Linked DNA regions of Nothobranchius furzeri. The protein of the gene in region 7 binds, or shares a complex with, the protein of the main gene of each other region. Links are inferred from orthologs where the notes say so. Each region holds a gene or a part of one and is shown on either strand. Other genes may lie near its edges.

Evidence for each region.
Region 1: nup93 (region 7) and nup214 share a complex: the UniProt entries of both Homo sapiens proteins name them as parts of the nuclear pore complex. The link is inferred for Nothobranchius furzeri from reciprocal best matches to the Homo sapiens genes NUP93 and NUP214.
Region 2: nup93 (region 7) and nup107 share a complex: the UniProt entries of both Homo sapiens proteins name them as parts of the nuclear pore complex. The link is inferred for Nothobranchius furzeri from reciprocal best matches to the Homo sapiens genes NUP93 and NUP107.
Region 3: nup93 (region 7) and nup188 share a complex: the UniProt entries of both Homo sapiens proteins name them as parts of the nuclear pore complex. The link is inferred for Nothobranchius furzeri from reciprocal best matches to the Homo sapiens genes NUP93 and NUP188.
Region 4: nup93 (region 7) and nup85 share a complex: the UniProt entries of both Homo sapiens proteins name them as parts of the nuclear pore complex. The link is inferred for Nothobranchius furzeri from reciprocal best matches to the Homo sapiens genes NUP93 and NUP85.
Region 5: nup93 (region 7) and nup205 share a complex: the UniProt entries of both Homo sapiens proteins name them as parts of the nuclear pore complex. The link is inferred for Nothobranchius furzeri from reciprocal best matches to the Homo sapiens genes NUP93 and NUP205.
Region 6: nup93 (region 7) and cetn3 share a complex: the UniProt entries of both Homo sapiens proteins name them as parts of the nuclear pore complex. The link is inferred for Nothobranchius furzeri from reciprocal best matches to the Homo sapiens genes NUP93 and CETN3.

Annotation. Positions count from the first base shown.
Region 1 is NC_091746.1:57,211,108-57,215,358, reverse strand, and holds part of nup214 (nuclear pore complex protein Nup214), read right to left. Parts: intron 2,288-4,251; coding exon 2,235-2,287; intron 2,141-2,234; coding exon 686-2,140; intron 1-685. UniProt on the Homo sapiens protein: Part of the nuclear pore complex. Has a critical role in nucleocytoplasmic transport.
Region 2 is NC_091741.1:38,092,369-38,096,619, forward strand, and holds part of nup107 (nuclear pore complex protein Nup107), read right to left. Parts: intron 2,215-4,251; coding exon 2,099-2,214; intron 2,000-2,098; coding exon 1,951-1,999; intron 1-1,950. UniProt on the Homo sapiens protein: Plays a role in the nuclear pore complex (NPC) assembly and/or maintenance. Required for the assembly of peripheral proteins into the NPC. May anchor NUP62 to the NPC. Involved in nephrogenesis.
Region 3 is NC_091746.1:61,211,638-61,216,540, forward strand, and holds the start of nup188 (nucleoporin NUP188), read right to left. Parts: upstream 3,214-4,903; 5' UTR 3,154-3,213; coding exon 3,128-3,153; intron 1,960-3,127; coding exon 1,905-1,959; intron 1,707-1,904; coding exon 1,633-1,706; intron 1,560-1,632; coding exon 1,475-1,559; intron 1,383-1,474; coding exon 1,302-1,382; intron 1,197-1,301; coding exon 1,152-1,196; intron 1,067-1,151; coding exon 974-1,066; intron 889-973; coding exon 769-888; intron 692-768; coding exon 480-691; intron 1-479. UniProt on the Homo sapiens protein: Component of the nuclear pore complex (NPC), a complex required for the trafficking across the nuclear envelope. Required for proper protein transport into the nucleus.
Region 4 is NC_091752.1:54,276,872-54,280,288, reverse strand, and holds the end of nup85 (nuclear pore complex protein Nup85), read right to left. Parts: coding exon 3,306-3,417; intron 3,195-3,305; coding exon 3,077-3,194; intron 2,883-3,076; coding exon 2,782-2,882; intron 2,626-2,781; coding exon 2,474-2,625; intron 1,308-2,473; coding exon 1,206-1,307; intron 1,068-1,205; coding exon 969-1,067; 3' UTR 859-968; downstream 1-858. UniProt on the Homo sapiens protein: Essential component of the nuclear pore complex (NPC) that seems to be required for NPC assembly and maintenance. As part of the NPC Nup107-160 subcomplex plays a role in RNA export and in tethering NUP96/Nup98 and NUP153 to the nucleus.
Region 5 is NC_091744.1:88,207,493-88,210,773, reverse strand, and holds the end of nup205 (nuclear pore complex protein Nup205), read right to left. Parts: intron 3,240-3,281; coding exon 3,166-3,239; intron 3,074-3,165; coding exon 2,945-3,073; intron 2,870-2,944; coding exon 2,743-2,869; intron 2,620-2,742; coding exon 2,447-2,619; intron 2,236-2,446; coding exon 2,106-2,235; intron 2,005-2,105; coding exon 1,876-2,004; intron 1,474-1,875; coding exon 1,397-1,473; intron 1,304-1,396; coding exon 1,151-1,303; 3' UTR 929-1,150; downstream 1-928. UniProt on the Homo sapiens protein: Plays a role in the nuclear pore complex (NPC) assembly and/or maintenance. May anchor NUP62 and other nucleoporins, but not NUP153 and TPR, to the NPC.
Region 6 is NC_091746.1:37,903,747-37,908,764, reverse strand, and holds cetn3 (centrin-3), read right to left. Parts: upstream 3,276-5,018; 5' UTR 3,132-3,275; coding exon 3,115-3,131; intron 2,264-3,114; coding exon 2,125-2,263; intron 1,760-2,124; coding exon 1,645-1,759; intron 1,562-1,644; coding exon 1,370-1,561; intron 1,001-1,369; coding exon 957-1,000; 3' UTR 459-956; downstream 1-458. UniProt on the Homo sapiens protein: Plays a fundamental role in microtubule-organizing center structure and function. As a component of the TREX-2 complex, involved in the export of mRNAs to the cytoplasm through the nuclear pores.
Region 7 is NC_091744.1:86,664,531-86,669,494, reverse strand, and holds the start of nup93 (nuclear pore complex protein Nup93), read right to left. Parts: upstream 3,031-4,964; 5' UTR 2,876-3,030; intron 1,819-2,875; 5' UTR 1,815-1,818; coding exon 1,636-1,814; intron 1,462-1,635; coding exon 1,344-1,461; intron 1-1,343. UniProt on the Homo sapiens protein: Plays a role in the nuclear pore complex (NPC) assembly and/or maintenance. May anchor nucleoporins, but not NUP153 and TPR, to the NPC. During renal development, regulates podocyte migration and proliferation through SMAD4 signaling.

The DNA.
Region 1 (4,251 bases), on a different chromosome or scaffold from region 7:
GGACGTCTTTTAAACCGGTGCGTTTAACGTGGTGGAAATGGTAGAGCTGCGTTCAACACTACAAAGGTGATGCGCCACCTTAAAAAACAAACTACTCCGTTTGCTGCAGCAACTCAGCTAAAAACATGCAAATGCCAAGTTAGCTGTATCGCACTGGATGACTGTGGTTGCAAACGTCGGGCTTCTCCTTGAGCCACGGTATGAGCTGCTGTTTCGTCTCAACCCACAGCTCTGCAGGTGTTTTGTAGAGAAGTGTGAGCCTGCTGCTGAGCACCTTGTGCCGTGCCTGCCCTGTCGTGGGATTGCACATTGCTCAAAACAGCTGCACGCCAAGTTAACTATTTGACATAAGAGCGAAGAGACAAATTTTAAATAGATTTGTAACATTGACACATTTCTTCTGAATGTTCTATCTGAGCCAGAGTTTTATAGAAGATAAACTAACGAAATGACATAAAAACAAAAACAACAACAAAAAACCACAAACAATAATAAAAAGCTTTAAAGGACAACTTGTATGTGTTCTCCTTTTTCTTTTCCTTTTTAACACATTCCTGAAGTATCGGATCGGGACTTGGTATTGGCAGATACTCAAAATCAAATGACTCAGATCTGAAGCAAAAAAGAGTGACTGGAACATCCCTAAAGGTGACACCTGACCTGATAAAGCCCCGGCTCGGCTCACCTGAAGGCTGACTGAAGCTGAATCCTGAAGATGAAGGTGTGGTGGTGTTACTCCCGAATACAGGTCCTTGCCCAAATCCAGAGCTCTGGCCAAACGCCAGGGTTGTGCTCTGTCCAAACTGTGTTGGCGCTGTGTTGGCGCCACTCGCACCAAAGGAGAAGGAACTTGCGTTGCTGGCAGTGGCAGACCCAAAGAGACCTCCTCCTCCGGTGGTCCCACTACTAGAGGTGGCTCCGAATCCAGATTGGGTAAAAGAAAAGCTGCTGGCTGATCCAGAATTGCTGGAAGGTTGGGCGAACAGGTTATTCTGACCAAACACGGATTTACCAAAGCCGGTTCCAGTTGTTGCACCAAACCCAGAAGAGCTAAAAGCTGTGGGAGCTGGAGCTGATGATGCCGGAGGTGCTACAGGCTGCCCAAACACAGCAGCAGTGGTGGTTGGAGTACCGCTAGACACTGAAGGGGTGATGGTGGTGGCTGCGGGGGCAGCTGTGTTGATAACAGGTGGGACCCCAACAGAACTGCTGTCTGTAGTTGCAGGAGTTGATTGAGTGAAGATGGAACCGGGTTTTTCCGATGGGGGCACTTGGAATGCTGCTGGGCGGGACTGGGAATCAGGGGCAACAGATGCAGCAGGTGAAGTGGACACAGGTGTGGTGGTGGAGGAGTCTGGGGGGGCTTCTGTTGTGGATGGGGCACTGACTGGTGGCGGGGGGACTGCTTCAGCTGGTGCAGTGAAGGTAGAAAGGGGCACTAGAGTAGAAACAGTAGTGATAACAGGCACTGCAGGGGTTGATGCTGCAGGTGTTGCCATGGTTACTGCATTCGGTGCAGGTTCTGGTGCTACAGACTGACTAGTGCTGTCTTCAGTAGAGTCACTTGTAGTAGGCTCTTCTTCGGGAGGTGGTGTTGGCTCTGAAGGCTGTGGGGGGGCTTTTGGTTCCTCTGAAGAAGGTGTAACAAGGCTACTGAAAGATGTAGGCAAAGTGGAAGGCACTGAGTCGGATGGGGGAACAGAAAACGCCGGCTTGGAGGTCGATTCAGGAGGCTTGAACAAGCTGTTAGGCGCCGCCCCCTTGGACAAGTCAGCAGCACTAAAGCTAAATTGTTGCGCTCCCACACCCAGGCCAATACCAGCCTCCCCAAGTGTAAACTCTGCAACTGGATTTGGTGCAGCATCTTTGGCTTCTTCTCCTTGACCCACACGTAGACCAGAAAAAATGCCCAGTGTCTCTCCTCCAGTCAGCTTTGCTGGCTGTGGCTCCACCCTGGGAGCAGGGGGAGATGTGGTGGATGGGAGTTTCCCTGGTTCAACAGATGCATCTGAAGCCAGAGTGGGAGACCCAGTGCCAAGACCAGATGAGGTGGGCTTCTGGATGAGGGAGAACGGCGGGTCTCCAGACTGACCAAATACAGCTTTGCCATTTCTGAAAGTGAACTTGTTCACATCTTTAACTGTAAAGAAGGGAAGCAGAAATCTGTGATTATGAAGGCATGAATGACCATTTCACGGTTTTATGGACAGAACCAGGTTTCTGGATAGTTTTACCTTGTGAGGATCCGAGTCCTTGTGAGGCTGAGGTTAAACTGAAGCCTGCTGACCTGCAAGAGTCAAAATACAACAGTGGAGCTAACTTTACATTTATGATTCAACATAATTCAAAACACGTCACTCCTCCTTGAACCGTCACCTTATCGTGGTGGAGGAGTTTGAGTGCCCTAATGATCCCAGGAGCTATGTTGTCTGAGGCACTTTGTGCCCCTGGTAGGGTCTCCCATGACAAATTGGTCTTAGGTGAAGGGTGAGACAAAGAACGGTTCACAGGATCTTTCATGGACGTAAAAACAAAGAGTCGGAGTACCCGGCCCGGAGGGTTACCGGGGTCCCACCCTAGAGCCAGGCCTGGGGTTGGGGCCCGTGAGCGAGCGCCTGGTGGCCGGGCTTTCGCCCATGGGGCCCGGCCGGGCCCAGCCCGAACCGGATACATGGGCTCATTCAACTGTGGACCCACCACCCGCAGAAGGAACATGAAGGGTCCGGTGCAGTGTGGATCGGGTGGCAGACCAAGGCGGGAGCCTTGGCGGTCCGATCCCCGGACAAGAAAACTGGTTTTTGGGACATGGAACGTCACCTCGCTGGCGGGGAAGGAGCAGGAGCTTGTGGCAGAGGTTGAGCAGTACCGCCGGACTCACCTCGACACATAGCATTGGCTCTGGAACCCAAGACCTTGAGAGGGGTTGGACACTCTCCTTTGCTGGAGTTGCTCCGGGTGAGAGGCGGAGGGCTGGGGTTGGCATTTTGTTAGCCCCAAGACTCTCTGCCTGTGTGTTGGGGTTTACCCCGGGGGACGAGAGGGTAGCTTCCCTGCGACTTCAGGTCGGGGAACGGGTCCTGACTGTTGTTTGTGCTTATGGGCCAAATATCAGTTCAGAGTACCCACCCTTTTTGGAGTCCCTGGGACGAGTGCTAGATAGTGCTCCATCAGGGGACTCCATTGTCCTGCTGGGGGACTTCAATGCTCACGTGGGCAATGACAGCTTGACCTGGAGGGGTGTGATTGGGAGGAACGGCCCGCCTGATCTGAACTCAAGTGGGGTTTTGTTATTGGACTTCTGTGCAAGTCGCAGTTTGGCCATAATGAACACCATGTTCGAACATAAGGATGCCCATCGGTACACTTGATACCAGGGCAGCCTAGGTCGCAGGTCGATGATAGACTTTGTAGTCGTATCATCTGACCTGCGGCCGTATGTTTTGGACACCCGAGTGAAGAGAGGGGTGGAGCTGTCAACTGATCACCACCTGGTGGTGAGTTGGATCAGATGGCAGGGGAAGATGCCGTGTAGACTTGGCAGACCCAAACGCATAGTGAGGGTCTGCTGGGAACGCCTGGCAGAAGAACCTGTTAAGACGGTCTTCAACTCCCACCTCTGGCAGAGCTTTGACCGCGTCCCAAGAGCAGTGGGGGACATTGACTCCGAGTGGGCCTTGTTCCACTCGGCAATTGTTGAGGCGGCTGTTGCTAGCTGTGGTCGCAAGGTGGCCGGTGCCAGTCGTGGTGGCAACCCCCGTACCCGCTGGTGGACATCAGAAATTCGGGGAGCCGTCAGGCTGAAGAAGGAGGCCTACAGGGCGTGGCTGGTCTGTGGGTCTCTGGAGGCAGCAGACAGGTACCGGATAGATAGCCAACCGGGGTGCAGCAGTTGCAGTTGCTGAGGCAAAATCTGGGGCGTGGGAGGAGTTTGGTGAGGCCATGGAGAAAGACTATCGATTGGCTCCAAAGAGGTTCTGGCAAACTGTCCGGCGCCTGAGGAGAGGAAGGCAGCAACTCGCTCACACTGTTTACAGTGGGGATGGGGAGCTGCTGACGTCAACTGGGGCTATAGTCGGACGGTGGAAGGAATACTTTGAGGAGCTACTCAATCCCACCTATGCGCATTCCGAGTAAGAACCAGAGCCGGGAGACCTGGGGATGGACTGTCTAATCTCTGGGGCAGAAGTTGCTGAGGTAGTCAAACAACTACACAGCGGCGGAGCCCCGGGGGCGGATGAGGCTCGTCCTGGG
Region 2 (4,251 bases), on a different chromosome or scaffold from region 7:
GGTTTGATCCCGACTCCTATGATCACTCACTTGGAACGAGAACTGGATTTCTTCCTGACGAGGGAGATGGCGAGCCTTAACCACTGAACGAACCAGGACATCTCAAGTAACTGAAGAGCAGACTGCTCTCTTCTGTGAACAATCTCAACGGTGTGGTAGGAAAAAATCGCACCACCGGACTCTGACTTTCACCCCAAGCGTGGGGATTTGACTTGACGCCGGCTGACTTGTGACTCATATGATCAAATCTCATACCGACCATTTTACTATTGTCGATTGTTTTCATCTGTTTTTATGTGTTATCTTTATGTGTTATATCTCCCACTATTATTAAAATTTAGTATATAAACCGTTTCATGCTATACCCGTGACTCCAGTCATTCTTAAACAACCTCCAATTCTCCCCGAACCTAATTATTGGCCCATTTGTTTATTTTTTCTTTTAATTATCTTATTGTATCCTGTAATCCGGTTACAGAGCCACTGGATGAAAACTTAGCCCGTAATCGTAAGCGGAGAGAGGATTAATCACTTTGGTCTGAGTCAAGATTTTTGCTCTTTTTATTTCGGTTTCCTTAACTCGTTCAGTGCTATTGACGACCAAAATCGTCATTTGCATGTTTTTACTGTGTGGGCGTCGGACGAGCCCCCGCACTGTGAGAACAAACATCTCAGCTCTAAAGCCGATCTTCATCCGCGTACGTCACACTTCACGTGATCAGGAAGCAGAACATCCATGTGTTAGGAGATCGTTTTGGGCCGCTGCTGTAAAAAAAGTGAGGCGCGAACCAGAAAAGCTTCTGCCGATCACAATTCAACAACGGATTATGAAAGAACGGATAACGCTCGAAACACGCGGATTCTTCCTGATGTAAGAGGTGAGTCTCCGCTTTGTTTTGGTTGTTTTGGCGTCGACATCATGCTAGCGCTCAACCTTCTGTGGCTCTTAACAAAATGCTAAAAAGGCTGAAAAACACTGGCAGTGAATGAGTTAAGTTGTGATTTTTAGAAAAAGTTCACCCACCTAAACACAATAATTTAGGCCTGATTCTACTGTTGTCCTCCACTTGTTTGATTTCTTCAGATTATTTATTAGATTAGCAGAAATAAGCCAATATTTTCCTCAGTGAAATCAAAATATGAAGAAATTAAAGTCGTTACTGGGATGCACGCCGCCTGCTTCCTTTAGAGCAGGGGTGTCAAATATGCGGCCTATGCGGCCCGTGGGTCGGATCCGGCCCGCGAGATGGTTGTGTAAACTTTATTTTCATACTTTACAATGTAGAGTGAAAATAAACTTATCTTTGTGAGCAAGTTTTCTCTGTAATGAGTATAAATAAAACAAAGCTGCGCTCAAGGCTCACACAAGAACTTGAATCACATCCTGAAGATGGCCGCCACTCAGGCTGTGACTTCTGATGTTGATGTGCTGGTGAAAGCTAAAAGATGTAAAGTAAAATGAGTCAAATATACTTTAAGTGCTGCATTAAACTGATCTAGCCATGTGATCTGTAAGCTCTTTGAATCACTAAGGAATTTTTTTTTATTTATTGATTTTATTTTTTATTTATTTTTCAAATTTTCAAGTACACTTCAGGTGTTGTACTTGTACTATTTTGGATACACTGTCCTCGGGCTCCAGCCTTGTTTTATAATGATTGTATTAAAACAAAGAAAACAATCTGAAGTTGTTTTTAATTTACCGGTCCGGCCCACTTGGGACTAGATTTCCCTCAATGTGGCCCCTGAGCTAAAATGAGTTGGACACCCCTGATTTAGAGTTTTATAGTAAGATGTTGAGAAATGGATTTCTAGTTAAACATTGGAAGTGATGCTGGACAGTGATGAGTACGACTCTCAGCTACACACAAGAAACTTCAGCTCAGCTGAAATGATATTCTGCTGACAGACAGAAGCAGAAAGACTACAGCAGAACCTGAAGTCACTTACAACCACGTCAGTCATCATGTCGTCCTCCAGCGCCAGTTGGACCCGATCTCTGCAGAGACAAGCAGGTGAATTAGACACAGAGGGGTGGACGTTTGCACCACCAGACAGACAGACGGGTGGATTTCGCTCGACCAGTGAGACGTGATACCTGTAGAGTGAAGCAACGAGTCTCCAGGTGCAGCTCTCCTGCTGCAGCAGCCAGCAGACTCCTGCCGTTTTACTGTTCTGACCCGCTCTCAGCACCACCGACTGAAGCACATCCACCTTAAAGGAAACCAATCCTGTTAGCTCTGGGCTCCCGGTGCTCAGGGGCCTCATCAGAAAGCTCACCTACGCACAGAACAGGGTCTGAAAACTGCGCAATTACTTTCCTCACAAACTTTGCGAATTATACAGGAAAACTTCACGTAAAACTTTGGACCTGGCGGAAGCACATTTTGGAGGAGGTGAGATGGTAGCAGGTTTATTTAGGACACATTTTGAAACTTCTAGAACCTCGCACGAGATTTTAAGATCCTCCTTTTCACATCGAAAGCTCTTAATAGTCAGGCTCCTTCATACATCAGTGACCTGATTATTCCCCATGTTCCTGACAGAGTACTTCACTTTTGTGGTGCTTGTTCTTTAAAATCCCTTTAAACAGGTACATTTACTCTGACGGTGATCCGAAACATTAAACAGATTTATCAGACATGAAAATGGGTCAAGGGTGAAAAACCCCAAGGCGTTCCCTGGCCAGGTGAGAGACATAGTCCCCTCACCGTGTCCTGGGTCTACCTTTAGGTCTCCTCCCGGTTGGACGAGCCCAGAAAACCTCACCAGGGAGACGTCCCGGAGGCATCCTGACCAGATGCCCGAGCCGCCTCAACTGGCTCCTCTCGATGTGGAGGAGCAGCGGGTCTACTCCGAGCCCCTCCCGGATGACCAAGCTTCTCACTAGAGCCCTGCACGGGCCTAAAATCTGAGCCCGTGTCCGGCCCGGCCCGAGCAGGTGGAGCCCCAGCCCGACCCGGTCCGAAAAGGTTTTCAGGATTCTCTGGCCCGACCCGAGCCAGACTTTTTTTTTTTTTTTTTTACCTTTCATAATGTTTTAGCGTGAAAGAATGCTCAGCATTCTAATTATCTGTGAGAAGCGTTCTGCAGTAAAATAAAAAAAAAAACGCATCAATGCAGCTTTTTTTCTAACAGAGCGTATTTTTGGAGCGGCAGATGAAATTTACGAACGCTATATTAATCGGATGCGTTTGTAAATCTAATCTGCTCTGAAAACACGCTCTTGTGCAATTAGAAAAAAAGCAGCATTCTAACTTTCTAACTGCAGAGCGCATTTCAGAGCGGCAGATTAGATAAACGCCCCCAATAAGCGTTTGTAAATTGAATCTGCCGCTCTGAAAATGCGCTCTCCAGTTAGAAAAAAATACAGCAGTGAATGCTGTATTTTTTTAACTGCGGAGCGAATTTATTCACAGAAAAATAGAACGCTGCCGTTTTCATGAGAATTAACGAATGGTTTCTGACATCAAAGTGGACATAAAATGGCATATTAGAACAGGGGCACATGTTTCAATCAGCTGTTTGAGAATAGGCGCATTTATAAACCACACAGACCTTAACTGAGCTAACGGGTGCCGGTGCGTGAGACGCAGGCAGGTGCTGCTGCGTTCAAGTGATTCCGGTTTTTTTATGAATTTGATTAAAAATAAAGGCGCCCGGCCCGTGTCCGAGGTAATTACACAGTCGTCGGCCCGAAGCCCAGCCCTCGGGCCGGGCCGACCCCCGGGCCTAGGGCTTCAGTGCAGGGCTCTACTTCTCACCCTATCTCTAAGGGAGAGCCCAGCCACCCTGCAGAGAAAACTCATTTCTGCCGCTTGTGTCAACGATCTTGTTCTTTCGGTCACTACCCAAAGCTCGTGACCATAGGTGAGGTTAGGATCGTAGATCAAAAAATAAATCAAGAGCTTCGCCTTCTGACTCAGCTCTCTCTTCACCACGACAGACCGGTACAACGCCCGCATCACTGCAGACGCAGCACCAATCCGCCTATCGATCTCACGCTCCATCTTTCCCTCACTGTGATACTTAAACTCCTCCACTTGAAGCAGGACCTCATTCCTTGTCCTGTCATGTTTTTAACACTTTGTGAAATGTGGAAAACATATGACGAATAATTGCTATTCATGGCAGCAGAAATCTAAATAATTTACAGAAAATTAAGTTTTCTCACTGTGAGGGTCATCTTTTAAGCAGTGGGGCATATATTTCAAAATATACCCCACTGCTTAAAAGATGACCCTCACAGTG
Region 3 (4,903 bases), on a different chromosome or scaffold from region 7:
GCAAGAAGGTTGCAGGTTCGAAACTTGGCTGTGTGGCCTTTCTGCGTGGAGTTGCGTGTTCTCCCCATGCATGCGTGGGTTTCCTCCGATTTCCCCCACAGATCACAACATGCCCTACAGACTAACAATTGTACGTCGCTTTGGATAAAAGCGTCTGCCAAATAAACATAAATAAAAAAAAAAAACATAATTGTGATATATTTTTAACTAAGTAATAAAACTGCTTCTTTTTAAGCCTTTTATGCTGATTACAGAACATTTCAACTGAGCGGGTTGAAACCGACAAAAGAATTGGTGACATTCAGAAAGATGAGTGTAAAAAAGATGGTTTTACTACATTTAGTTCATAAAGTTGGTTACAAGATATGAACACACGTTTTTTTCTCTGTGACAGTTTGTCAGCACATTCATATCTTACAATAATAAATACATTCATCCAATTTTAACACATAAATACAAAGTCAGTGAGGTGACCTTACCCGATCCGGTCAACCAGCACGTCCATGCTCTTGTCCACCAGGTGTCTGTTAGTCTGACGCAACCCAAAGCCTTGCTCTTTGAACATTTTGGTGAATTTTACAAGGTCGGGTGGGCTCATCTCAAAGTATGCATAATACAGGAAGATGATCTCCAACAGCAGAGACTGTTCCCTCAGACACTGCAGGAACCACCGTGAGACTTGTCTCTCCGTCTTGCAAACGAGAAGAAGAGTGTAAGGAAGCAGACGGGGCTACAGTACGCTGCTGTAAAAATAAACCCAGTGTTTACCATGAGGTTGCCATGGGTTTCCCATGTTGGTGCTTCAGCCTTGAAGAGGTTCTCAAACTGTGACTGATAGCTGTTCACCAGGTCCTTCTCCAACTTGTTGACACAGTTACTGTACTCGGCCTTGACAAAAAAAAAACAAGGATTATTTACACAAAAAAACATCACATCAGGAAGAAATGCATTTAAAAAAAGAAATATGTCTCACCCGATAGGGGTGTCGCTCATCCTGGAAGTATGTCAGCAGCAGCAGGACACATCTGAGCAGACACATGCGCTCCTCATAGTAATAATCAGCGATCTGTAAAAAAATTAACAACACTAGTAAAAACAGAAATGATTGGAAAATGGCACAGAAGTGACGTAATGCTAGTTTGGGTGCATACCTTTAGGAGAAGAGCCTGACTCTTCCGTTCCTCGTTGAGAACAACCTGTCACAGAAACTACTGTTAAATCTCTTCAGACCTATGATTTAGTACCAGTGGATTTTTGTTTTTCTAGTAAGTTATAGAACAAAAAAAGTTGAAAGCAAACACCTTTAAAGAATCACGAGTTCCTCTGTAGTCCTCCTGCAGATAGCACTGTAAAAGCTGCACACTCTGCTGCTCATCAAGATTCTAAAACATTATTACAACAATCCCTTATGAACCAGCAGTCATGAAAACGTAAGAATCCACCCTCTGTGACATAAAAAGATCTAAATGCTTACCAGCAGTTTACTAATCCTCAGACCAAAGTCTTTCAGGGGCTGTGCAACATCTTTGTTTTCCTTAACTTTCGCAGCGGAGGATGAACTACGGGAGGTGAAGCTAATAGTTACTCATTTATTCATGTATCTGATGTGAAAATACCTTGATGTAATTATACCTGGGTGGCTTGTAGTAACTGAGTCCCTGATGCAGTCTGTCCCAGTGCTTGTCAAGCTCTCCCTCTATTTGAGCCTGCACCAAAAATACAAATGTGTGTGTGTGTGTGTGTGTGTGTGTGTGTGTGTGTGTGTGTGTGTGTGTGTGTGTGTGTGTGTTTATATAGAAGTTAGAATAGCATGAGTTAAACCAGGAAATTACTTATGGATAAATTGTCTAAAATTTTGGATGGTCAAGTTCAGCATACGCTCTCTTTGAGTGAGGAGGACATACCGATTCTCTCAGAGCAGACTTCCCCAGCAAAATGGTCCATAACTCTCTACAGCTCCTAAGAGGAGAAGAGAGGTGAAAGTCAGCAAATCAATAACCTTTAATAAATGAGATATGATGCAGATCCACTACAAGGAAAATACTACAATATGCAAATTTGACTTGACAGGCTGCATTTGTGAGTGACCTCAGATGCATTTAACTGATAAAACATAAATGTGTCCTGGGCAAAACTGTAGACCTGCCCGGACTCCTTATGCCTCAATTAGATGTGAAGTTTGTCAATCAGGTTATACATATCTTTGTTTGTCAAACGCATGTTGCACATGCACCCACCCAATGCATTTAAAACACAATAAGAGAGATTTAGTTTGTGTTTAAAGAAAACTGAAATTCAAACCCAAATGATCATCAAGGTCAGATTGTAGAGAATGCTGAGCTAATGCACTGTACTGAATCACCAAGAACAATACAACTAAATATGAATGGAACCACTACACACACTTCAAACATCCTCACTGACTGCCTTAAATACAAAGGTTGATACAGAATTAAAATGCTTTATTGTTTTTCCTTAAAACCTTGAACTAAATTCTCTTAAATCGTGTTTCTGTACCAGCTTTGATATAAAACAACTTTGTCAATCTGCCTCTTTGAAATCCCATAAGTTTTTTCTCAACACCGGTCTGACAGATTCAGCAGTTTTTAAATGTCCTCTAATGTTCCTCAATAAGCCTTTTATTTATGGTAAAACTGTTAAATAATACAGTTTATTTACTACGATTGGTTTAAGGTTCTGTTGGGTTCATTTTAGAAAATCTGTCCGTTAAAATAATTCCAACTTAAGACGGTCTTTTCCATCGTGTCTAAATGATGGGTTTAGCTTCAATAGACTAGCCTCTTTTACTACAAGACGTAATAATTTTGACATCAGCACGCGTTTTCTATCTCTGCCAGAAAAATCTCCCTGGCTGACAACAGCTCTGACTGTTGTTGACATGTGAGGTAGCGCCGCGCTACAAAAACCTTTTGAAATGTTTAGCTGCTAGCACATGCTAAGCTATACGAGCATGGTGCTAATTCTTTTTAAAACAGACTGTTAAATGACTCTGTTGCCACAGTTGTGATTTAATAAATGAACACGGGCTGTAGCCAGATTTACTCATTATCAACGTCTCTTAACTATTTATTAACAATAAATGTTAGTTAGTCGCTTATGTTTCTACCTGACACTCATCTCCGATTCCGCCATCTTAGATTCTGCCCTGTGATTGGTTAGTAAAGTGTCTGACGTCTTTACAAACGGAAACTTTCTTCTTCGTGAATTGGACTTGTGCTTAATGATGCTTTACTGCCCTCCTCTGAACAAAACGTTTAATTTCAGTTCCTTGCAGCAGGTTTGTTTTAAATTTTACTTTACTGAGGCACTTTTGCTGTTCATTTTCAATTTTCATTTTTTGTTTGAATTCATATTTAGGTGTTCTGTTTACTTATCACTGAATACATTTTCTTTTATTTTAAAACTGGTTTCACTTATTTCAGATATCTCGTTTTAACATTAAGCAGACTGGATATGTGTTGTATTGTTCCTAGTAGAAATTAAAATTCCAGATATCCACGAGAACATTTCTACTGTCCAGCATGACCGTTTTTTTTAGATATGTGAAATGTAACAAATGACATCACATTTCCCATTCATGTTTATTGGCTTCTACAGCGCTTCCACAATTACAGACTTCCTGTCAAGAATGAACATTGTAGAAAGAAGAAACGGAATTAGGAGTTACATTCCAGATATCTGAAATAGTCGTTCTGAATAGTTGGTGTGGATGTTAATTACTGCTAGGAACAACTATAAATATCTAGAATGGCTGTCTGGCTTGTCAAGGACGCTGCAGCGGCAGCGCTCCTCTATATAAAGCGAAACAGACAGCTGCCGGTTACAGTAATCAATACACTTTATTGTCAAAAATCACCAAAATATTACTGTAGAAATGGGAAAATGATGGCTTCAGCATCCAGTTCTGCCAGAAGACGCTGGCAGCGCTGAGCTGTTTGGAAGAGGAAAACATTAACCACGTGACCGCCGACACGCAGACGGAGCTGTTTGACAGCTGGCTAATCTCCAGGTGCTTACAATTAATTAGAATGCGCATGCGCCTCAGAGTGGAGCTACTTGACAGATCATCTCCAGATGGTTACAATTAATTAGAATGCGCATGCGCCTCAAAGTGCATAAATTCGCAGACGTGACGTCATATACAGTTACTTTACATTAGCAGATCGAGCAGAATAGCACGCAGCTAGACAAGCTTTCAGAAACATGTCGAGCAGTTTTAAAATAGCCCTCGGTACCAGAATTGAAAGTTTAACCAACACGTATATAGTTAAGTTACTCCCACCTGTGGAAATAAATGGTGAAGTTTTGACCATTTGCCAAGATCAAAATGAGGAAATGTATTATGTGAAATGTATTCACAAGAGAGTTTTACATCGGTATAAACAAGAAGCGAACCTGCTTTTGTATCTCAATGACCTATTTCCTAATGAAAAGAAGTTTGTGAAAATCATCGAAACATTTGATTACGGCGACTGGTTTTGCTTTGCTCTTGAAAAACTTAACACAACATTGCTAAACTTTGTTGAGAATCAAGAAAACAAGCGTCTGAACATTAAGGACATTAGAACGATCGCTCAACAAATTATCTCAGCATTAAATACGCTGAAAAAAGCAGGCATCACTCATAACAACATAACAGCAAAAACTATTGAGCTGCTGGAAGACGGTTTACACATAAAGTTGAACGGATTCAGTTATGCTGGAAGAACGTCAGAACTTTCAAAGATGGAGGTCCCGATTAATTGTGGATTTAGTGCCCCAGAGATTCTCATTAACAGTCCCCTGGATGAACGCGCTGATGTGTGGAGTGTAGGATGTCTATTAGCACAGCTCTGTTTTGGGGCCTCGCTGTTTCCAACTTTCTGTGAGTATGAATATTTGA
Region 4 (3,417 bases), on a different chromosome or scaffold from region 7:
GCCCCTGTGTATATAACCGTCTTGTCTCTGTGTTTTGTTGGTCCGTTGTCTTGTCAGCGTTGTTCTAGTTTCCCTTCTGTGCTCGCTAGGTTCCTGCTCATAAGTTTGACCTTTTGTTTTGGCTTTCAGTGGTTTGTATGCGAGGCTTAGATTCAAGCCCTTTGGATTTTTTGCAACTCCTCCTAAATAAAGGATTCTTATTTTTGCAATCACTCCTGCCTGTGTATCTCTGGGTTCTTGCATTTTGGGTTCAAGCCTCCTGCCCTCAACGTGTAAATGCTGTTTTAAAACAAAAGCTTCTTTGTTTGGGATTGTCTGAACATGCAATCCCATTGTTCACAGACTACTTCAAGGACATAACTCAATGCCTTAATTGTGATGGGTTGTCCTCTGAATTTTTTAGTGTTCACAAGGGAGTACCACAGGGCTCAGTCTTGGGACCCCTCTTGTTCATTATGTATATCAATGACTTATTACAAAATGTGTCAGATGCTTATATGCACTTTTACACTGATGACACAATCATTTACTGCTTTGGAACTTCCCCCACTAAAGCAGTTGAATTCTTACAGAAAGCTTTTGGTCCAACAAACACTTTGTAAAAATTTGAGCTAAACATATTTGGAATATAATTCATGAGAAGGGTCAATAACTGGAAAAATGAGATTGTTTTCATAAGAAAAGGGATCAGTTGAACTGTAATGACCCTGTTTAATAAAACACAGCTGCTGTTTTTGTGTCGTGTTGCGTGAACGTGATTTTTTTTGTTTACAGTTAAATAATTTAAAACAATTTGATATGTTTGATATTTTGATTTATTCTAATAATTTCCCAAAAATGATTTAGAAACAACGTAAGTGAACGGAATGAAGAGATATTTATTATCAAAAAACAAACATTTGATGACTTGATCTTATTAACAGTACAAAAATGCAAAAGAAGAGCTTGTTTTTAAATCTGAATCTACTTTATGTCTGCATTGTTCCTTCTTTCACAATAGCTGAAGCCAGATTTCTGGCCAGGGCGAGTCTCAGCATCTCCACCTTGGTCACCTCTACGTCTTCCTCCTGAAAACAGAAAGACAGATTTTAAACGTGGAAACGGCAGTAGATAATCACTTTAACATCAAACTGGGTTTGGTTTGTGTTAAAACTATGAAACAGGAATGTCCAGCTGCTGGGACGAGCTGAAAGAAGAATAAAGACCTGCATGGGTCTGCCTGATCCAGAAGCAGCAGTGATCAGAGAGGAGGTGAGCTCCTCTAAGCAGTACATCAACTCATAGGTTTGCTCTGCAGAGAAGATCACCTGAAAACAAGGAGAACAAGTTACTCCACTGAAACTCCAACTGTTCGGATTTTTTCATCCACATAATAAAAAATGACAAATAGCTCAATTTTTGATATGCTAACTCTTACAAGAAACATGTTTAGTAGTCAGTTGGTTTAAATGGTAACTAGGCAGTTTTAGCACCCCCAAGAAATCTCCTCGCTGTGCGTTCGTCTTTTTAACACCTTAATCTAACAGCTGAAATGACTCCTCAGCCTTCATTAGTGTCTACAGGAGTGAGTCGTCACCAAATCAAACATATCAGATGTGTTCCCGATCCAAAACATGCAGGAAGCAGACTGCAGCGCCAGGTGTGTCAGCTCAATTTTTTACCGGCACTCTGGGGTTGCAAGTGGGATATTCTGCCACATGGGGGGGTGGGGGGGGGGGGAGAGATGATAGGAGCTGTGTGGCCTTTAATTAACCTCAAAAAGGGTCATTTTAGCACAAACTGGCTCAAGAAAATGACTTCAAAATATGAAAAAGTTGCAAAGTGCCCCTTTAATAAAACAGGGGTAGTAATGTTCACATTAAAAATAACATACGGTAGTGTGTCACTCAAAAAAACTACATAAATTAATTAATTTTTAATGATGAATAAAAAGTTCCACAAATACCTACTTAAAGATAGATATTACTTATTCTATTTGTGCAGCATTTTTCATGCACACAAAACTCTGACCAGGAGGTCACAAATGATCTTAAACAGGATCAAAACATTCATTTAACAACATCTGAATGCTCCAGATTTGTGCATTTAACCCTCTGATGCATGAATTATGAGATCTTCAACCATGATTTTTTAAACAATTTGTTTCATTCATCTTTAGGTGTGAATTAAACAAATTTCAACAAATATTCTTTGTAACATTTTGTTAATTTACAAATACTTTATTACATGTCTATCTCAGTGGACAGCGTGCATTCTGAACATGAAATATGTTGGCTTGCCTTACTGAAGTCCAACTGGAGAGGCTCACATGCAATAAAGTCTTCAACAGCTGTGCTTAATAGCAAAAATAAATAAATAACTATTTTGAGTACCTGTCCACTGTAGTGACCATTATGCATCAAAGGGATAAACTAAAGTTCTTGATTTTGTAATAACAAATCTACTTTAAACCGATGTTCAGGTGTGGACTGACCTCTTTCTGCTCCAGCAGAGGCAGAGCATCCGTCAGCAGCGTCATCCAGAAGCTTTGGGGAGCGATTTTAGCCGTCATGAGGGAGAGTAGCAGCTTTGCAGCATCGCTGAAGCACTTCTCTCCGTACAGCTTGTGGAACTCACGGTATTTTCCTGGAGAGAATCATTTCTATCAAATCATCCTCCAGAAATTCTCACCATCACATGTTGTTGCATCAAGCGGATACTGGTTCTGTTTCTATTAGTCTTGTGTGTGTGTGTGTGTGTGTGTGTGTGTGTGTGTGTGTGTGTGTGTGTTCAGGCTCCTACCAAGGAAGGTTAGCCTGTCGCTGAGCAGCATGGTTGAGCCCAGGTTGTCGATCAGATCCAGATCAGAGAAGGTGCCTTTGGCGCAGTAATCCTGCAGGAACCTAAAACACAAACACAAAAACAACTTCAAATCATTTTCAGAGAGAAAGACATTTAGTGAACTAATAAGCCCAACAGTGATACTTATAAAAAGCTTAAGAAGCATGTAGGTAAAAGTTAAATGTGTTCCTGGAGAATGAAGATGAAGCTGTCAGTTGTGTATATTTCAGTAAGAGCACCACTAAAGGGATGTGACCTCTCTGAAATCAGGGTGGCAAACGCAGCATCTTTGGCTCGGATGCTCCAGGAGAGAGCAGAGCCCAGTCGGTTGTTCCTTACAGCCCGCATGGCCATGATCTTACAGATGCTCCGCACTGGGACCAAAACAACAAAAAACAAACCAGGTCAAGCTTTTCCAGCCTAGCTTACACCAGAGAGATTAGCTTTGTGACACAAACTGATAAAAAGGACGACCGAGCCCCTACCCTGCTCTGACATCTGCCTCTCCTCACAAATTCGGAGCACTTTGAGCGCTTTGCGCTCCGTGTCCAAAGGAACTCGCTCGATCTGCAGCTCCAGATAGACGCGGCCAAATTC
Region 5 (3,281 bases), about 1.5 Mb from region 7:
ATGATCAATCCAAGCATTTTCTGCATCTGGTCATCATTCCAAGCCTGTAAGCCTGAAGCCTTAGTCGTTTCCTTATTAACAGATTTTTGTCCTGAGAAAAACGTCAGTGACATCACAGTGACATCACAGTGACATCACAGTGACAGTGTGCAGACATTTTTACGGTGAGTCGACTCAGGAGAGGTTAGAGATGGTTGAATAAATTAGTGATTTGTTTTAATGGACTTCATTTTAAGTGCTGTTTATACTGCAATCATGTATTTTAAAATGGAAAATGTAAAAAAAAAATAGTATTTTATCCGAGGATGTTTTCCCGCCCACTGGACATGGGTGTTCCAGACGAGTATCGGACATTTTCCTCCTGACGCAAAAGCAGCACAATCTGCGTGTAAAAGTTTGGAAAAGCTGTAATTAATTGTCTTATTTAAAGTAATTTATAGTTTGACGAGCGTGGTTCGTTAATCATGCATCCTGTTTTTGTTTTGCCCACTAACCCACAGCGGCCGCCAGCCGTGGAGAAATGTGCCTCTAATTTCCAACGCGAGCGTTCGCCCTGCTCCGTTCCCTTTCCCTCCTCAGTATTCCAATAAGAGCACAAGTCCTGTCTGGTAAACGTAGAGCTGCATTTCTGTCTCACCTCTTTCCAAAGGATTGAAAGTCTCACGCACTTTAGGCCTTAAAAGTGTACCTTTAAAGGAAATAAATGACATTCAGTGAGTTGTCCTTCTGGTGGTCAGTGTTGTGGTGCTACTCCCACACCGCAAGTCTTGTTTTTGTTCTGCTGCTACAGTTTTACACGATGAGTCAACCAAACATGGCTGAAGCAGCGGTCGCAGTCATCAGAAACGACGCCGCGTCCCACACGGGACAGAAAACCGCGTCCCACACGGACGCTGGTCATTTGGGCGTCATAAAAGTTCCAAACACATTTCAAGTACTTAGAAAATTTTATTTTCACAAAAAGGAAAAAAAACATCAGATTAGAAATCCCTCTGAACAGGTAGAACTATCGCAGGTGTTTATCAAACAGAATCGTTGGCATAATTAGAATATGAGACGTCTGGAGCTCTACAGCGATCCCGACGGCCCGTAGAAGATCTGGACCGGTGGGCATGAATCAGTTTAAACTGACGTTTATCTTCTGTTGACATCAGCCTTTAGCGTGTCGGAGCAAGCCGCGTATTCTGCGGACCAGCGCCTGGATGAAGGTGTAGCGAGAGCGGACTTGACTGTACGAGCTTTCTATGTCGAGTAGTTTCCTCTGCAGAGTCTCGCCAAATCCGGACGCCATGTCACCTTTCAGCTGCACAGAAACAGCAAACAGGACGAAGGCCTTTAGAATCGGGATAAAAGCTAATGAATGTGGTCAACTCAGCAGTTAGCCACATCTTCTTACCAGGTCCAGATCTTGCTGGCTGACTCTCGACAGACCAAGGCCACGGCCGCCGCCGGCCTGCAGGCCCCCCAGGGACTCTGGAGAAAACAAACGTGAGTTTTTAAGAACACCTCTGTATAAACAGTTTTGTTATTAGGGCGAGACAATATCGGTATCGGCCGATGTTGGTCCTGTTTCAACATATCGGTTCGATAAATAAAACCGGGCTGATACTACCAACCTAACCCTAACCCATGAAATCATCTCAGAAGCATGAATGTGTGCATAATAACGTAAATTCAGCTTTAATCATTTTAATTCTACACAAAATCTTCTGATTTTAGAAGCATTCATGTCAGGATGTCAGTATCGGCCATAACAGTGATATCGGTATCGGTGCATCACTAATTACATGTCTGAGTATTTATAGCTGCGCTTGAGCCAACGACTGCATTAATGATCTGTTTAACGTAAACCAGCAGTTGGAAAGCTTAACCCACCATCTGTGAGGCGGGATCTGAATAAACTGGATCCGGGCAACAAGGAGTCCCTAGGGTCAGAGGGGGTGCAATACAACAGGTAGTACTCCAGGTGGCGCCATAACACAAATAAACTGGTCTCGATCACATCTGAGGAAGACTCGTTAAGGCCTGAAAGGAGCGAGCTGACGAACCGAAGGAAAACTATTACTGGAGGTTTTATTTGGCTGCAAGCAAAAGCCGAAGGATACAGGAGCATAACGCCAGCAGCTTGGCTCTGTTGTTGATCAGCTGGACCAGTCGTCTTTTAGCTAGCAGGCTCCTCTGGACTGAGGAGATCTTCTCCACCCCTCCTGGACCGGACACCAGGCCTTGGCACAGCTGCACAGAGGAAATGTGAATAAGAACCACGAGAAGGAGGACGGCCTCCTCCAGAAGACAACAGCCCTGCTGCCCTCTAAAAGGTCCGATCTTAAAGATGCAGTTCAGCGAGACCTGCTGCCAACTTCTGTCCCACTCAGTCAGCCAATATGTGAAAGAGATCATTAACGTAGAAAACCATCAAATATGTCAAGTCATGAATGAAAGTTGCCTCTTTGAGCTCCTCTGGAGGCAGCTGGTCCAGAATCTGCAGCTTGGCCAGACCGTGTTTGTGGCTCTGGTGGAACTGGCAGAAATCTGCAGCGCTGTTCCTCAGCAGGTACAGCACCAGGCCCAGGCTCGGGACCCGCGAATGGGCAACCGATGGCAGAGAAGTCGAGAGATCTTTAAAAAGAAAACAAGAAAGAGGAAACCGGACGAGATGAGTGTTTCTGAATGATGAAACTCACTAGACGTCTAAAGTGAGCGGCAGAAAGAGGAAACACATTTAAGGTGACCATCACCGACCCGAGGGCCTGCCGTCTCTGCCGGCCGGTTCGCTGCCCGACGGGCTGAAGAGGCAGATGCTGAACTGAGCCTGAGAAGAGCTCTGCAGCAGAAGAGTCTGGCAGTACTCCATGATGTTGGCGCACACCTAGGAGAGAGAGGCACTCGTGAGCCGGGTCACCGACTAGACACAACAACTGAGCACCAACGATTAAAGTCAAACCTGCAGCATGGCCACCTCCATCTCCTCTCTGTGTTCGGCTGAATCTGCAGGTGCAGAAATCTCCGCCTGCTTCAACAACCTCTCCCGTTCCCCTCCTGCCAGGCGACTCAGCAGCGCCAGACACAAACGCTGCAAGAGGCACATCTGTTACCAGCTGCACACCATGAGGCTGATTTAGGACCCTGGAAGGTTCCTGCAGAGAACATTTAAGGTGGTCTCACCTGGAATCTGTTAATGTGACCCTGGAACTCCATGAGAGCAGCACTGTTGAGCTCTCCACCCGTCTCCAGGACACCTGGATGAACACGAAGTCCCTTCCATAAGTCACAGACGGAGA
Region 6 (5,018 bases), on a different chromosome or scaffold from region 7:
TTCAGAACCATGACCTTATAGTTGGAGAAGCTGAATCTCCTGACTGTGAACTGGCCCAGAGCACCCCAACGGCCATGGTTTAAACCACAGCAGAACCATGACATTAAAGTTTCTCAACACTGGGAACATGGACGGACCTCTTCTTTTGGTTTTACATGGTCCTAAAGGGATCCATGCATCCCCGCTAAGAATGTAGATACTAACCAAACACACGTGGACTGGATTACCTCGGCAACAAACTGATCCGGTGTTCAGTGAACTGGACAAAAGCCACAATCCTGATTCTGAGGTTCAACAACTGTTATCCTTTCCTGAAGCCTGGAGCAAACCTTCTGAGGGGTGTGTATTTCATGTTTAACACTAAATTTATCGTGTTTTACTAGAAACTCTGAAGCTCTCCTGCCTCTTCTGTGGCCACCGCACATGTCAAACACAAAACAACCATTCAAACATGATGCTGAACTTTGAAAGTACTTTATTAAAGTATGATGGTGCCGGGTCTGACGACTCTGGCTCTTTGGGAAATGACAAATGAGTAGGGTTGGCAAAACAATTTAAAAATAAATATGCCACATTTAACTAATAACTGCAACAGGTCAAATAGGATACGAGTGAAACAGATCTGATCTTCTGTGTTTTACTACATCACATTAACACGTTCCTAACGGAGCTTCAGACTCGTCTTCTACACAAACACACTCCATGAATAAAAGCTCGCTTCTTAAAGAAATGCCAGCAGGTCAGCATCATATTGACACTTCATGTCTACGAGAGGAACTGAGCAGTGTGAGCAGATGTTGGTCCAGACACGATCTGGTGCTTTTATTTATCAAACCAAGTCAGAACAAAGCTCCAGGCTCCTGATAAAGTCCAGTCCACCTCAGAAGCAAGAGAACAAGGCCCATATCTCCTCCCAATATGGGCAAAGAGTCCAACTTACAGATGGGGAAACCTCTTCATGGGTCTCTGGTCATGATGGAGAGGAACTCCTCCTGATTTACTGAAAAGAAGGGAAAAACACCTGGTCAGATCTACTGGATTTACCTGGAAAGCTTAGACGCAAGAATGAAAGAAAACAAACAAAAAGCGAAGCAGCAGTGGATTTTTGTTACTTTAACTGAACATGTTTACACATTGTCGTTAGTAAATCTATTTTGTTCCAGGGCAGCAGATGCCTGCTGACGTGACAGGATCTGGTCTAACAGTGAAAGCAACAATGTTAGGAACAATCATATAAATAATTAAAATGCCTGTGTGTGCCAGAAGATGCAGTGATGATGTTGGTATTGTTGCATCTGCGGCTCTAATCAGACACAAAATCACAACAAAAGAGAGACAGAGTTGCTCTCATCTCAGACTCCGGTCTTACTTTCTCCATCCCCGTCTGTGTCAAACTCGTCGATCATGCTGCGTAGCTCCTCGTCGCTGATGTTCTCCCCGAGTTCTCGAGCAACCCGTCTCAGGTTCCTCAGGCTGATCTTTCCTGACTCGTCATCGTCAAACAGCTTGAAAGCCTTCATGATCTCCTCTTTGGGATCTCGCTCCAAGATGCGATCCGTAACTGTTGAGGGGTAGGGAAAAGGTTTAGTAGCTAATGAAGCACCTCAAGCTATGAGGTAATACCAGAGCCGATGACCACCTTACCCACTTCGCTGAAATCCTCAAAGGTGATTTTCCCACTTCCCTCTCTGTCGTAATCCTTCAGAATCTTCAGAACATCCACTTTCTTCACTTCAAAACCGAGAGCGCGCATCGCCACCTGACAAGATGTTTAAATGTTGTTTTGGTTTGAATTCAGGATTAGAACAATTAGTAACTAGCACTAAAACAACAAATAAATGTTATTGCTGTAGAACGTTAGCTCCAATTCCCCTGGAGCTTTATTTCAGCAGGGTGCCTTCAGACATGGAAAACCCATTAGCGTTTCTCCAAAAGGTGATTAAATGGTATTTAGTTACTTTTACTTACATAATAATACATAAATACCTGGTGCTCCACATTCACAGCAGTTAAAGAAAAATAGGAATGATGAGGTTATAAAAGCATAACTTATATACGGCATTATTTCAGGCACAAAAACCATAAGGTAACCATAACAACCACCACTATGGCCCATTTTCTTACCTTCAGCTCGTGATAGTCAATCTCCTTATCTTTATCCGTGTCAAATAAGTCAAAAGCTTCTTTAATTTCATGCTTTTGGTCCTCGGTGAGCTCCCTCCTCTTCTTGCGCTTGGTTGTCTCAGCTGCAAGATCAGTTCTGCTGAAACAAACACACATGCAGTCTCACCTCAGACACTACCTGTATCACAGCCATGACTTATTAATGCATTAACCCATACACTTTGTTATCCAATGAGAACTAAACCATTTTCTGTAATGTTTATTGGGGTCTCTCTGATGACACAGGGTAGGCTAAAGGATCTTAAAAAAATCTACCTTATGCCTTGTTCTAAAAAAAATCAAAAGCAAAATAACCCAGAAGAACATCTAAAGCTTTGTAGGTCAAACTTGGTTAAGGTTTAAGGTCATGTGTCAACAATAAGGTAAACCTCATTCTCCAAAGCCTCTGCTGAACAACAACAACAACAACAAAAACAACCCACATTTACCAAAAACATTGGGAGGACCTCCAAAAGTCTGGGGGAAATTGTTTATTGACAGATGGAAAAAAACAAAACAAAACAAAAAACTAGTACATTCGGGTCCCCCACCGTTTCTCCGCCAGCTTCTTTGTAAACTGTTGTGTTTAGCAATATTATTTCAAGAAAATCCCTAAAAATATATATCTTAATCATTTGGTCATTGCTGTAGCTGTGAAATTCATCATGTTTAGTGAATATCACTAATTCTAATCTAATTCAGATTACGATACAATTAGATAATATTACTCAATTTACAGTTATACACAAGGGACTCGTTCCCTCATAAATGTCTTATCCTGATAAAAAAAATAACATCTACGCCTATAATTGTACAATTTGGCAGGACGAAATCATCTTGACGAGACAAGCGAAGGCGTACGTTTTTCAACTGGGGAACAAATCTCGACGTACCACCGGTTTCAACTGAACTGTAACAGCCACATCTCGCGACAAAAGGTTAGCTCCTTACCTTAGAGATAAACTCATTCCAGGTGAATTTATAAAACCTTTAAACCAAATGTTATTCTGAATGCTATGTGGCTACAGCTTCCAGCAAACACAACAAATCCGTTTATCCGCGCTCACACACCAGGAATCCTATTGGTCGCTGGTTGCCAGGCAGCAGTTAGGCGAGATCTGGTTGGTTAATGTTACTTCTTCAAGGCCGCTTACCCGGTCGTTGTCATTGCTCTATGCAGTCAATTAGAGCACTATTGCCACCTCGTGTTCATAACTGATACCACAGTCTATATTATACATATGGATGGATATACATATGCCCGGTATATATATATATATATATATATATATACACATACAAACCAATGATGAATCAAAAATATTCTGACACATCACCATTGCATAAAGAAGAAGAAAGGGCCTGTATATTATGTAAGGTACCTAAATTCTCCTAAAATTTTCAATATCTGGTGAATTTGGACATAGAGAATTATTCTAATGACTTCACGTGCTAATGTAACACTCACAAGGTCTTTATGAACCTCAAATCTTGATTTTGTTTTAAAAAAAATTTTGGGGTGGGGGGACACCCTCTCCACCAGCTGTTAAAGTCTCATACGTTCAAGCTGCTTTATAAAACTATTATTCCAAGCCCAGTTAAATCTTAACTTTCAGAAATTCTAAGCAGCCAGAGTTCAGAGTTGCCAAAAAGTGCTGCTTTTAGTTTTTGCCCACCAAAGAGTGCTCTTTCATAGGAAAAATCTTCTTTCTCTAAACTAAGTTGTGGATGTTCTAACATCGCCAGGACTTTTTGAGTGCCACAGGATTTTAATCTATAACAATGTAGTATGTTACCAGTAGTAACCTTTGTCACTGTGGTGCCAGCTCTCTTCAGGTCATTCACTAATTCCCCATATGTACTTCTGGACTGTTTCCTCACCATTCTCAAGATCATTTGTACCCCACAAGGTGAGATCTTACACAGAGCCACAGGTCGAGGAATACTGTCAGTGATTTTGTATTTATTCCAGTTTCTAATAATTGCTGCAACAGTTGATCTCTTCCCACCAAGTTGCTTACCTGTTGTGGATTTACTCAAGCCAATCTTGTGCAGGTGTACAATCCTGACACTGATGTCGTTTGTCAACTCTCTGGTCTTGGCCATGGTGGAGTCTGACTGACTGAAGGTGTAGACAGGTGTCTTTTATACAGATACCAGTTGCCACTAATTCAGTCAGCAAGTGGAGGATAGATAAGCTTCTTAAAGAAGAAGTAACAGGTATGTGAGGACCAGAATTATTGCACATATGTAGGCACTAAATATGTATCTTCTGCACCATGATACAAATAATTTCTTAGAAAATTTTACAGTGTGACTTCCAGGATTTTTTACATTCTGTCTCATAGTTGAAGCAAACTGTAACTAGGAATGCACCGATGCGATACTGGTATCGGTATCGATAAAAGTTAACCAATACAAGGAACCGATAGCAATGCAGCTGCCTGAAAGTGGCTTCACTGTAACTTGTCATTTCTGTTCACCTAAAATTTTAGTTTTGTGATCATTTTTATTAATGTATGTATGTATATATATACATATACATATCTATATCTATCTATCTATCTATCTATATATATATATATATATATATATATATATATATATATATATATATATATATATATATATATATAATCTACATCACAGTCTTTTCCTGTTGAAAGCAGAAAATTAAATTAAACCTGTATTCCAGTTCATTGTATTTTTTGTGTGGTAGAAGTATCGGTAATATGTATCGGCAAGTAATCAGATTCAAGTATCGGTATCGTATCGGTTTGGAAAAAAAGTGGTATTGATGCATCTCTAATGATATCAATTACAGACCTTCCTCATCTTTTTAAGTGGGAAAACCT
Region 7 (4,964 bases):
GTGCTTATTCTCTTACAGTAACAATTTATTAATTTTTTTGAGGAATTTATTAGAGATTTTTTGGGTTTTATTAACTGTGCAATAGAAAAATAATTAGATTAATTGTCTAAATAGTCATTAGAATATTCGACTATTCGATAAAATAATCGTCAGAATAATCGTTTACCCCCAGCCCTGACAGACAGACAGACAGACAGACAGACAGACAGACAGACAGACAGACAGACAGACAGACAGACAGACAGATAGACAGATAGACAGATAGATAGATAGATAGATAGATAGATAGATAGATAGATAGATAGATAATAGATAGATAATAGATGATGGATAATAGATAGATAATAGATGATGGATAATAGATAGATAATAGATGATGGATAATAGATAGATAGATAGATAGATAGATAGATAGATAGATAGATAGATAGATAGATAGATAGATAGATAGATAGATAGATAGATAGATAGATGATAGATGATAGATGATAGATGATAGATAGATAGATAGATAGATAGATAGATAGATAGATAGATAGATAGATAGATAATAGATAGATAGATAGATAGATAGATAGATAGATAGATAGATAGATAGATAGATAGATAGATAGATAGATAGATAGAGATAGATAGATAGATAGATAGATAGATAGATAGATAGATAGATAGATAGATAGATAGATAGATAATAGATAGATAGATAGATAGATAGATAGATAGATAGATAGATAGATAGATAGATAGATAGATAGATAGATAGATAGATAGATAGATAGATAGATAGATAGATATAGATAGATAGATAGATAGATAGATAGATAGATAGATAGATAGATAGATAGATAGATAGATAGATAGATAGATAGATAGATAGATAGATGAATAGATGGATAGATAGATAGATAGATAGATAGATAGATAGATAGATGATGGCTTGCCAAGCTAAAATCCAAGGGGATTATTTCCAACACTGAGCTCAGAATTTTAAGTGTTTTTCTTTTCACTTATCTCTGATAAGAGACTGAATTAATCACAATTATCTAGTTTTACAGTGTTTGTTATGAGCCCTATAACATCAACCTTCCTGAAAGCCTCACTGTGTCACAGCACAGAATCATATTCCACTGATGTCAAGGGAATAATATAAGCAATCAGTTAGAAAACATTTGGCAGCCTTAAGTCCTGTTGGGGATGTTTAAAAAGGCTTGGCACACGCAACCATTAGAGCATTAAAAGTTTATCTTATTCATCTTACATGAGGCTTGCACTAGTAAGGCATCTGAAGCATTAGAGACTTGCTAGCAGGTGTCAGGACCCAAGGCTTCTCGTTTCATTCATACCTGTATGTCAGTGTCCTTGACTGGTTCCAGGGGCTCAAAGGTGGTGGCAGCACTTAGAGTTTCCAGTCTCTGTGAAATGTGGAAGACGTCTAAACCTCTGGTACCAAGGAGGATGGACCTGTTACAAGAACAAAAGATTGGAGAGGTTTCAACTGGCAGAGAAGTAATTTTACATTGACACCACTAGATGGCAGGCTAGGCTGGCAGGCAAAGTAATCTATCAATTGAACATCATGCCTGAGATTAATAACCTGGGGAAGAAAAGGGTTTAATAACCAAAAAGGTTGCTTACGCTTTCACATCTGCAGCATCTTGAGAGGTGCGAGTTAAGGTGCGGGATCGAAGCCTTTCCCCAGCCTGCTGGATCTCCTGAAGGTTCCTTTCCACATGTGGCAGTTCAGACACAGCTTCTGTTTCTGCAGCCAATTGTTCTGCCTGCTGCAAAAGCTCTCCAAACCCTTCTGCATCCATGACTCTTAACAGGTAGAGAAGTTTATAAATGTGATTTACTTGAAATGAAAACACTGAACAGTTCTCTATGGTAAGTGTTTTGCGGGTCTGGGTTTGTGCAATAAAATATTCCACTAAAAAATATATAATATTTTCATAATTTGCTTAACTTTAAAATAGTATGTGGAATATAAACAAAAATACGTTGTGATTTTACAATGTTTGACACTGTACAGACTTTGTGTTAGAGGTAATTAAAGACAACAGATTACATGACAGGATAGCTTGCCAGTATCTCTGTCAGTAATGACAGAGTGCAACTGTCTTGAAGGGAACATGATGCTCCGTAATCAAATAGTAAACAACTACAATCACAATCATTTCAAACTCCTTAGTTAAAAAACAACTGAACCCAAAAACATACTCTATGTTTTACAGTTTATGATTCATCTTAGATGCGTCAGCTCAGAGCCCAAAGAAGTCAATGTTCACTTTAGACAAGTGTGCACTTCTACAGTCACGTTATAACTTTTATGATGCATGGATAAAAGCTCCTCCTTGCCTTGCAGCTTTTTGATTAATTAAATAAAAACAAGTTTACCCTGTGTTTACATTGAGATACAGCATAACTGAAGATATAAAACACTACTTTTAAAAATTGGATGGTCTAACCTATAATTCTTTATGCTGCCTGGAGTTATAACAAACTGTACTATTTATCTACCAACGTAAAAATGCGTCATGGGGGAAAAGGCTTGAAAGGTAAACATGAGAAAGATTACAGCTGAACAGTTGCAGCGCGCGCATGATGTGCTTGACGAGTTGAGAGATCAATCTTTACGGACGTCAACAGAATACCGTTCGATAGATAAGTTCAGACATTGAAACTGCTTAAGAAATGTGAAAACTCGTACCAGACATTCCAAAACCGTGGTAGCATGCTACAACATAGCCTAGTTACAATCAACCGGCGACGCTAAACGGTTAGCGAGCTGGCTAAGATGCTAACGCTCGCACATGTTTCGACTTCATTTAAATTGATGTTAAATTTCTCTACAGTTGAATGGAGACGATTATTATACCTGTTTTAAAGTTGGATGAAATTACAGTTCAGCCTGTTCGCCTCATGTAAGTGAATAAATGTGCTTTTTAGATAGTTTCGTTCACAGGCAAGCGTAGTCCGCAGAAAGTATACCCCGGTATTTCTGAAGTCGTCGGTGATTGGTCAATTCAGACTGTATAACGGTGCGCATGCGTCTGTCGTCACATGCCTCCTTCAGGGTACTTGGGGAATCCTAGTCAAAAGCAAAAGATACCTATTATTTTCATGTGTGTCATTTTTTGTTTTCCGACTAACATAACATATTTAACAGTGTACATATTTGTTCTTTGTACGTATATTTGTATCCCTGCATTGCTTTAAATAGAACTTATATTAAAAATGATTAGAAGCATCGAGAGTAAAATACTTGGGACACATCACAACCCTAACACCGTACACGTGAAATAAATGAAACAAATCTTTTCATTTTTCATTTATCCCTGCCACTTGTCTTAATTGATACTTTTAATAAACATATATATTTTAAATGACCTAATACAATGCAGCCAATGGAATGATATTTTCTGTTTGTTTTTTTGTCGGCTCTAAACAAAAACACTGAAGCGTGAATCACAAAGAGCAGATGGGTGCTGAACTCCTGCTTCCAGACTCAACTGTGCAATGATCTGGTCATCTGGGGCACAAGCCCCAGAGCTACTTCATTATGTAACACAGTTTATGGGCACATGGACATAGCTGCACAACTGTGTGACGTTTTGTGATAAAACAAAAATCTTCACACAAACTTATTTTGTTCTTGTTCCATGAGCTGCATACGTTTCTGTCAGTGAAATAATTCAAGTGGCACAAAATTATTTAGAAATGAAAAATCTGACATTATTTGAAACAAGAGTGAAAGAACGTGCCACAGAAGTTTTTCTTTTAAATGTCCATATAAACTCAACATGTCCTCCTTTAAAAACAATAAAAGGTATAGAAATTAATGAATGAGCTTGTATTTATACTAGTATATAGTAAGTTATTGATGCCTTCACATATTGATGCTATTTTAAAAACATAAACACCACCAGAGAATGGAAAGCTCTTTTTTATCTGACATCTTGCGACAACGTTGTGATCTTTTCTGGCACGCATTGTTCTAAATCATCCTTTTTATTAAAGCTCAAGTTCTTGTGAACCACTGTTTAACACGTGTTACTTTTTGATATTCCTTTTTTACATCATAGTTGTCAAAGAGCTGATTCATAAAGTGTAATATTGTAAAATCATCTAATTTTGTTGTGATCCAAAAACTGGACTTAGAAAAATAACTTTTTCATAATAATCTTTTTAAATAGTTCTAATACTCAATAAATACATTCTGTTAAACCATCTACCTGAATTTGACATTAGTTACTCCTAAAGCTGGATTTACAATTTCTAAATAATTACTGATGATCTATATCCATGTTTTTTCTCTCCAGGTATGTAGTTTATAAGAAAAATACGCTATAAATATATAAATATACAACAAAAATGATAAAAATTCAAGATTCTGAAAATGAGACAGCATCCTGGAAAAATGTCTTACAGAATAATTACAATTTAAATGAAGATAAATATATAAAATTCACATCTGAATGCCAATCTAAAATGTTTTGACTTCTGCTTTACTTTAATTCCTGGTTGAGGTATTTTTATTCACGGTGTTCAATTACATGCAAGGCTGCACTGTTGTTTTAATTGCTTGCACTGTTTTCATGATGGCACAGCGCTCTGGCTGGCCTTGAGCTGATTATAAGAAGCTAAATAAATAAAGGATGATATGGTAACTTTGTTGATGTGTGGATTTTGTCTCGACTATCTCTGATTGCTGCTGTGCACCAAATCTGTGCATGTGGGACATTACAGGACTGAACATAAACATAAGATTAAATAAAAGAATACCTTAACTGATAAATGATAGAAACCTTTATAGCTCAAACCAGACCAAGTGTTTACAAAACAACCCAAACCTTTAAATGAGCTTTATTTCTATAGAAAACTTAAGATTGGCTTAAACATCTGCCACTTTGCTTAAAGAACTTTTAACCATAATACACACATCCTCTCTCGAGTCCACATATTGT